Linked DNA regions of Oryctolagus cuniculus. The protein of the gene in region 2 purifies or fractionates together with the protein of the main gene of each other region. This does not show direct contact. Links are inferred from orthologs where the notes say so. Each region holds a gene or a part of one and is shown on either strand. Other genes may lie near its edges.

The links. Proteins that work in one complex are often made in the same cells at the same time.
Region 1: the proteins of UBXN6 (region 2) and ASPSCR1 purify together in Homo sapiens (affinity purification with mass spectrometry; 4 studies listed by BioGRID and IntAct, counting the BioPlex papers as one, with this or other methods). This does not show direct contact. The link is inferred for Oryctolagus cuniculus from reciprocal best matches to the Homo sapiens genes UBXN6 and ASPSCR1.

The regions. Positions count from the first base shown.
Region 1 is NC_091448.1:964,896-969,122, reverse strand, and holds the start of ASPSCR1 (tether containing UBX domain for GLUT4), read left to right. Parts: upstream 1-1,427; 5' UTR 1,428-1,509; coding exon 1,510-1,611; intron 1,612-1,824; exon of another isoform or gene 1,825-1,987; intron 1,988-2,174; coding exon 2,175-2,230; intron 2,231-4,227. UniProt on the Homo sapiens protein: Tethering protein that sequesters GLUT4-containing vesicles in the cytoplasm in the absence of insulin. Modulates the amount of GLUT4 that is available at the cell surface. Enhances VCP methylation catalyzed by VCPKMT.
Region 2 is NC_091447.1:59,807,306-59,811,414, forward strand, and holds the start of UBXN6 (UBX domain-containing protein 6), read right to left. Parts: upstream 2,801-4,109; 5' UTR 2,691-2,800; coding exon 2,608-2,690; intron 254-2,607; coding exon 90-253; intron 1-89. UniProt on the Homo sapiens protein: May negatively regulate the ATPase activity of VCP, an ATP-driven segregase that associates with different cofactors to control a wide variety of cellular processes.

The DNA of each region.
Region 1 (4,227 bases), on a different chromosome or scaffold from region 2:
CACCCAAGCCCACGGGGCAGCCTGTGCAGAGGGGCGCAGTGGGTGGGGCCAGGTGGGGCCAGGACACGCCTTGTTTTACACCTCAGTGTTAGGGGAGGATGGATTTATATGGAAGGGAGAACACCAGAGAGAGGCAGACACCCACGCACCCACCCACCCCCACACCCCATCGGCTTCCATCTGCTGGTTCACTCCCCAAATGGCCACACAGCCTGGTCTGGGCCAAGCCAACACCGGGAGCCTGGAACTCCACCCGGTCTCCCACGGGAGCTGCGCCGGCTCCCAGCTGGGTGCCAGCGTTGCCTGCGGTGCTGCCCCTTCTCCCCCTGCTTCCGGCCTGCAGACCCCGCCTCCCCCGCGGGGCTCGGGCCTTGGGGCCGCGGGCTGAGACTTCTCGGCCGTCAGGAGCCTCCGTCTGCCCGCAAGCTCTGGGTTCAGTTTCTGGCACAGCAAATTCACTCAGCAACCTCTGGACACACAGTCTGTATTCTCTAGTGACGTGTGCGCCAGGGAGAGGAATAGCCCGGCTAAGGCACCTCCTGCGGCGCTGCATCCCACGTGGGCCCGGGTTCGAGCCCCGGCTGCTCCACTTCTGATTCAGCTCTCTGCTGTGGAAAGCAGAAGCCGGCCAAGTGCCAAGAGTCAGAGCTCACAGGCTCAGCCAGGGGGACCCCGCAGACTCCAGCCGGGCCACGGCTCAGGCCATGTGTCCTGGGGGCCGGCCAGTCGTGGGCCATTTGGCCGCCTGGACCCTTCAAGCCTGGATCCGGACTGTGGAGAGGCCCAGGCTGCTCAGCTCTGAGGACGGCCTCGGCCATGACAGGCGGTGTGGGCGGCCCCGCTGCTGTCAGTCCAGGAGCCCCAGGTGTGCCCGCCCCGCCCCCAGCACCGAATTCGGAATTCAGCCGGGTCAGGACAGGCAGCTGGCCATTAGCGGCCCGGGGGCGGGGTGTGAGGGGTCAGAACATGGACCCAGCGGCCGCGGGGTCGGGGGTCGGCACGGACCCGGCGGCCGCGGGGTCGGGGGCTGTCGCTGCTCTGGGTCTCCTGGCTCCCTCAGAAACGCCTCATTGGCCCGGGCTTGGCCAAGGGAAGCCCCCCGGGGCCGAGGAAGCGTCCCTGCCGCCGGGCTGAAGCCCAGGGCCAGCAGAGGGCCGGGGCGGTGCGGGGCCGGGGCGGGGGCCGCAGAGACAGGCGGGCGGCCGTGAGGGCCGGCACTGAGAGCCAGCCGTGCGCCTTCCGCCCGGGCCGGCGCTGGCGGCTACTCCACGAGAGTGGACGTCCGGCAGGGACACCGGGGCCCCCACGGCGCCCGTTGAGGGCACCGCGCGCCCCGCTCCTCAGAGCGCCGGCTGCGCGGGCCAGGGGCGGGGCCCGAGCGCAGGGGCGGGGCCTGGGGCCCGGAAGGGCGCGGCGGCCCCGCCCCCGCCGGCCGCGTGGCTGTGCGTCCCGGCTGTTGCCGATAAAGTTGTTTGAAGCCCGGCCGGCCGCGGGTCACGTGAGCGGAAGATGGCGGCCCCGGCAGGCGGCGGCGGCTCCGCGGTGTCGGTGCTGGCCCCGAACGGGCGGCGCCACACGGTGAAGGTGACGCCTAGCACCGTGCTACTGCAGGTGCGGCAGCCGGCCGGCGGGGCGGCCGGGCGGACGGGCGGACGGGCGAGCGAGCGGGTCCGCCGCGCCGGCCCGCCCCCCGCGGTTGGCTTCGGGCCTCGGGGCCGGGCCTCGGGCGAGCCCGTGGTGGGCGCGGCCTGAGGGGGCCAATGAGCGGGCTCTTGCCCGGGAGGCCCCGCCCACCTGGCTCGGCGGGCGCCGGGGTTTGCGCGGGGGTCGCAGGGGCGTGGCGCGCCGGCCCCACGTGCGCGGTCCCGGCGTCCCGGGCCGCTGGGGTGGCCGCGGTCCGTGCGCCCGGCGGGGGTTCTGCTGAGTCACTCGCTGCTCCGTGGCGGAGGTCGGGGCGCCGTGCGGCCGGAGCGGCACCCTGGCCCCGGTCTGGCCCCGTGGGCAGCGCTCGCGGGCACGCCCAGCGGGGATCCCAGGGTGGGAGGCAGGAAGCGTGGGCCGCGGAGCTGGCCGGCCCCGGGGCGCGCGGAGCGGGCCTCGTGGGAGGTCGGGGCGTGACGGGGCTTGGCCCTGGGCGGCCCCTGCACTGAGGTTCGCTTTGTCCTCTTCTCTAGGTCCTGGAGGACACGTGCCGGTGTCAGGACTTCAACCCCAATGAGTATGATCTGAAGTGAGTTTGGGGTTTGCCTTGGGCAGGGCGCCAGGCGTCCACGCCCCCTCCCTGGAGGAGCCGTGGGCGACTGGACCCCGCCCTGAGGTCCGCCTTTCCTCTGGCTTTGCCCCTGGCCGCAGGTCCTCCTGCGCTGTCCTCTCCTGCGGCCTTTTCCCACTCCGTGTTGCTCTCCTGCGTCTCGCGACACCTGTCGGGGTTCGAGACCCACCCGACCCACGGCGTGCAGCGTGGTCTCCGGTGGGGCCCTGGGAAATGAGAGGAAGCTCTGCCAGCCGTGGGCGGAGCCCTGTGGTCTCGCCCGTGGGCCCTCCGCAGAGGCTGTCCGGATTCCCGGTCTGAGCCCTCGTGGGGAGACGTGGGTTTCTCCCGCTCCCGCTGAGCCTTACACCTTAAAGACCCACCCCAAGGCATCACGTCCTGGCCTCGGGCCAGACTTGTCCCCGCCGTCCTGCTCCCCCAGCCTGTCGGGGGTGCCCAGGGAGAGGCTCTGCAGGGGACACTGCAGCCCAGAGCCCGCGGCGTGTGCTGTGCCACCTCTGGTCTCTGGATCTCGCGGTGCCAGGCCGCGCTGGCCTGGAGCCAGCAGCACTCACCGAGCTCGGCCGCGGGGCCCAGTGCCCGTGCTCTCGGGGTTCCTGGGCAGCAGCTGCGGTGTCCTGGACTCCGCACGCTGATGGCATTTCTAGTCGCCTTCTGGCCGTGGTGAGGGTTGGTGCTGGGTGTGCACCTGGGCCCTCAGCGGCGCAGCTCGGGAAGCCGGCAGGCGTCGGGTGGCTGCCGTGGCGTTTGCCGCATTCGGCTGTCACGGTCTCCCCCAGCTTCTTATTTTCCCATTTAGTACTTTTTTCCTTCTGTGGGTTCCCACACCCCAGAATTTCAGAGGTTGGAGCTAGTGGGGCTGGCATTCAGCCCGGGGCTGAGACACCAAGGCGCCGTGCCCGGCTCTGCGCCCGCGTCCTGCCCGCTCGCGCCCTGGGAGGCGGCGGTGGGGGCTGCAGTGGCCGGGTCCCTGCCCCCACGAGGGAGCCTGCGCCGAGGTCTCGGCCCAGCCCAGGTCTGGCCCAGCTCTGGTGTTTGGGAGCAAAGCGGCGGAGGGGGACGCTCTCTGTCCTTCCACCTCTGAAACAGAGAAAACAGCGCAGAGTTCAGTGTGACGCCAGAAACAGGAAACGGGTCTCGCCCTTCTGGGCGCTGTCTCTTTTTTCCCCAGATTTATTCATTTGTTTATTTGAGAGACAGAGAGACACAAAGAGACAGAGCTCCCATCCGCTGGTTCACTCCCCAGATGTCTTCAACAGCTGTGGCTGAGCCAGGCTGCACCCAGGAGCCAGGAGCGCCATCCGGGCCTCCCCGGCCAGCGGCAGGGGCCGGACGGGCAGCGGAGCATCCGGGGCCTGAGTGGCCCAAGGCTTCGCCTGCGGGACCACAGTGCTGCCCTGTCTGTGCACTCTGCTTGAACGGCAGGGACACAGAGGCAGAGTTTCCGTCCACAGGTTCCCTCCCCAGTGCCCGCAGCAGCCAGGGCTGGGCCAGGCCAAAGCTGGAGGCCCCGTCCTGGTCTCGGGCGCCGGGCGTGTGGGCCCCGATCCGGCCCCTGCTGCTCCCCAGGGGTGCCCACGAGTGCGGTTGGGACAAGCAGCAGGCACCCTGACACAGGACACGGTGTCCCCAGTGTCCCCCGCCGCGCCACCATCCTCCCTCCTGCCTTGGGTGCCTCCTCTCGTGTCCCTGGGAGGGCTCTGGGCCGGCCCCCCCTTTTCCCTTTTTTTTTATAAAGATTTATTTACTTATTTGAAAGAATTACACAGAGAGAGAAGGAGAGGCAGAGACAGAGAGAGGTCTTCCATCCGCTGGTTCACTCCCCAGTTGGCCGCAATGGCCGGAGCTGTGCTGATCCGAAGCCAGGAGCCAGGAGCTTCTTCCAGGTCTCCCACGCGGGTGCAGGGACCCAAGGACCTGGGCCATCTTCTGCTGCTTTCCCAGGCCACAGCAGA
Region 2 (4,109 bases):
ACACCTCCCTTGCAGGCTCGCAGGCGCTGGTCGGGAAACCCTACCCAGAGCAGGGCCCCGGCCCCGGCCCGAGGACGGCCGCGGCTCACCCTGGTTCCGGATGGAGTCCTGCGACGTGGGGCCCCGGGCCCGGGGCTGCTTCTGCTCCAGCCGCGCCAGGGCGGCGGCGGCCGCCATCTGCGCCTCATCGGTGGGTCCCTGGCGGGGCGGCCTCAGAGCCAGCTGGCTGGGTTTCTCTTTGGGGGCCTTCTCCCTGCGCAGTGACCGAGGCAGCGCGAGATCAGAGGGGAGGCTCCTGCCCCGCCCCTGCCCTGGCACGCAGACCCAGCCCTGCCGGCCCCGGGGACACCACTCCCCGCGGCCTCCCCCGCCCCCCCCCCCCCGGCTGCAGCCCTGGGCTCAGGTCGCCGCCTCCTCACGGCCCCGAGACCCTGGGGACGCCCACACCGCGAGCCCGGGTCCCAGCACCCTGGGGCAGGGGTGACGGCTCAGGCAGGGCCCCCCCGCACCCATGGGCTGAGTCCCCGGCTCATGGCTGCAAGTGGGAGCCTCCTCTCTCTGCTTTTCCAATCAGCAAAAAATATATTTAAAATGTTTATTTATTTGAAAGAGTTGGGGAGAGAGGTCTTCCATCCTCTGGTTCACTCCCCAAAAGGCCATTAATGGCTGGAGCCGCGCCAACCCAAAGCCAGGAGCCAGGAGCCGCATCCGGGTCTCCCACGCAGGTGCAGGGGCCCCAGCACTTGGCCGTCATCCACTGCTTTCCCAGGCCACAGCAAGGAGCGGGATTGGAAGTGGAGCAGCTGGGACTCGAACCAAGGCCCGTATGGGATGTGGCCCTGCAGGCCAGGGCTCTAACCCGCTGCGCCACAGCGCCGGCCCCAGAGAGCAGCCTGGGAAAGCAGCGGCAGCGGCCCACGTGCGTGGGCCCCCTGTGAGGCCCACCTGAGGCTCCCGGCTCCAGCCTGGCCGTGCTGACCACGTTGGGGGTGGGCCAGCAGAGGGACCGGCCCCTCTCTCCCTGACTCTTCCAAATAAATGAGAGATAAATCTTAAAATCTCCCTGCAAACCTTCACGGCTCTGGGAAGCCCACATGCCAGCCACGACCCCTGCTACCCGGCGGCTTCCAGTCCAGCAGGCCGGGGGGCGGCCGCAGGGGCACGTGGACACAGCCCCGCGCGGACAGGCGCTGAGCAGGCCGGCCGGGAGCCCCCCGTCCAAGCCCCGGCTCCGAGCCGCTGGGATCTGGGGGGCTCGCCTTCCTTCTCCACCGTGGGCCCCGGCAGACCCCTGGGCGACCCCTCCCCGCCCGTGGGCAGCGGCCTGGACGAGGCCTCCCCCCGGCTGGCTGCTGGCCCAAGAGGACCCCCGAGGAAGCCCCCTGGCCCTGTGGCTGCTCCATCTTCCCCCAGAGACTCAGTTCCCCGACGCCCTGGCCAGCCCTTCCCGTGGCCTTGAAGGCCCGCCCACTTGGGGTGCCTGCCTCCCCCGTCTACACTGGGCTCCCCGCTGCTCCTGTCTACACCGCCTGCCTGTTCCTCACGCGGTCCCCACTGGAGAGCCCCCACACGTCCTGTGTCTCCCGCCCAGAAAGTCCCACGGGGTGGGATGAGGCCGGGGGTCTTGGAGGCAGCAGGGAGACGCCCCTGGTCCACGCCAGCTCAAGGCCCCCCCACCCCCTTACTTCCCCTGTACGCCGCCTCTATCTGTCCTAGGCGGACCCTAGCCCCTCCCGCCAGCCCTCCCCATCCCCCGGGCCCCTCCTCTCGTGGAAACGCGGACGTGGCCCCCACTACCCCACCGCCCAACCCGCCCCCAGACTCTCCAGAAACCCACACCCTGCACGCCCCGCCCCCGCCTCAAACGCCCCGCCCCCGCGGTCATCCCCGCCCCCACGCCCCGCCCCCGCGGTCGTCCCCGCCCCCACGCCCTGCTCCGCCCCCACGCCCCGCCCCTGGGTCATCCCCACCTCCCACGCCCCGCCCCCGCGGTCGTCCCCGCCTCCCACGCCCCGCCCCCACCCCGCCCCCGCGGTCGTCCCCGCCCCACCCCCGCGGTCGTCCCCGCCCCCACGCCCCGCCTCCCACGCCCCGCCCCCGCGGTCGTCCCCGCCCCCACGCCCTGCCCCTGCCCCGCCCCCGCGGTCGTCCCCAACCCGCCCCCAGACTCTCCAGAAACCCACGCCCTGCACTCCCCGCCCCCGCCCCCGCCTCCCACGCCCCGCCCCCGTGGTCGTCCCCGCCTCCCACGCCCCACCCCCGTGGTCGTCCAAGCATCCCACGCCCCGCCCCCGCGGTCGTCCCCGCCCCCACGCCCCGCCCCCGCCCCGCCCCGCGGTCGTCCCCGCCTCCCACGCCCCGCCCCCGCCTCCCAAGCCCCGCCCCTCCCCCGCCCCTCGGGGGGTGCGCCCCCGAGCTGTCTCCCCGGCCCCATCGGCCCCGCCCACCGGAGTGTCAGCCGCATCGGCCCCGCCCCCAGGGGCGCCCCTCGGCGCCCGGCCGCCCCCTCCCAGCCCGGGCCGCACCTGCCGCCCCCTCCCCGGTCCCCAGAGGCCGCCCACCCCGCTCCCCGGTTCCCAGCCCCCTGCCCCGTTCACCGTCCCCTACCCCGCGGAGTCTGTGAGTTTCTGCCCGGGCCCCGCGCTCTTGAACTTGATGTCTGCCTTGATCTCCTGGAAGAATTTCTTCATCTTGGCGGGGGGCCCGGCGGCGGGGGGCCGCGGCGGGCGCGGGGGGGGGGGCGCACGGCCCAGGCAGGGAGGGGCTGACAGAAGCTAACAACCGGAAAGAAAATAGCGCGGAGCCGGAAGTCCCGCCTTCGCGGGCCGCCCACGTGACAATCGACCCGGGTACCTCGGAGGCGGCCGCTCTGTATTCTGAAGCCGCGTCTCGGTGGTTCTTCCGGCCTCCGTTGCCAAGGCGACGAGCGCGCTTCCCCGCGGGCCGCCGCGCTGGGAGTCCCCGGCCTGGGCCCCGGGGAGCTGACCGTGGGGCCGGCTGGGCCGCGCGGAGAAGCGGTCAGGGGCGCCCCTGGCTCCCGGGCGCTTACGTCATAAAGCCCCCATTCAAGGTCCCCCGGGACCCAGCCCCACTTTGCCCACAGTCGGCGCCCCGCGAGCCCCATGGGGCCTTGGGGGCCGCTTGGGCCGGCAAGGCAGAGAGGAGCGGGGTGTGCACCGACCGAGTGGCAAAGGGGAGCCCCCACCCCCCAAAAAAAACTCTGAGCGCGCAGGCCCTGGAGGGAGATAGGCGGGGAGGGGGCGAGGGGCCGCCCCCAGCCCCAGGACCTTTGCCTGGGGGTCAGCAGGGGGTCGAGGGGGGGGCCCTGGGGTGGGAGAGCCCCCCGCGGGCGCAGACGGAGTCAAGGCAAACTCGCCTTCCCGAACGAGGGTTCCCTGTCCACAAAACGGTGCTGGGAATAAAAGACCCCCGCCACGGAGGACCCTGGTGGGGACAGCGCGGCCGCGGGCCCGTGTGAGAGCGGCGGGTGCCTCTGTTGAATTCGCCCTGAGCAAGCTGCCGGGTCGGACCGTGGGGAAGACAGAATTGTGTGCATCGGGGAGCCCGGCAGGTTTAGGAGGGAGGCCGGGAGGGATGGGAGAGGTCTTCCACCTGCTGGGTCACTCCCCGAATGGTCGCAACAGAAGCCGGGGGCCAGGAGCTCCATCCGGGTCCCCCACGCAGGTGCAGGGCCCCAGGACCTGGGCCATCGTCCGCTGCTCTCCCAGGCCACAGCAGGGAGCTGGATCGGGAGCGGAGCGGCCGGGACACCTGCTAGGCACACCGCACCGGCCACAAGGGGGCACAATTTTCACTGTCAAAGGGACCCTTTTAAAGAATTATTTGTTGTAAGGGGCTGCACCAGGCCCAAGCCAGGCTCTAGGAACCGCACGCGGGCCCCCCAGGCAGGGGGCGGGGGCTGTCTTGAGCCACATTGGGGAGAAGCAGGACTGGAACCAGAGCCCCTACAGAGCCGGTGCTGGCTCAGGCAGCTGCACCATGGGGGCCGGCGCCGAGGCGTGCTGGGCTGGGCGCCAGTTCGAGTCCTGGCTGCTCCACTTCCGACCCAGCTCTCTGCTGTGGCCTGGGAAAGCACTGGACCATGGCCC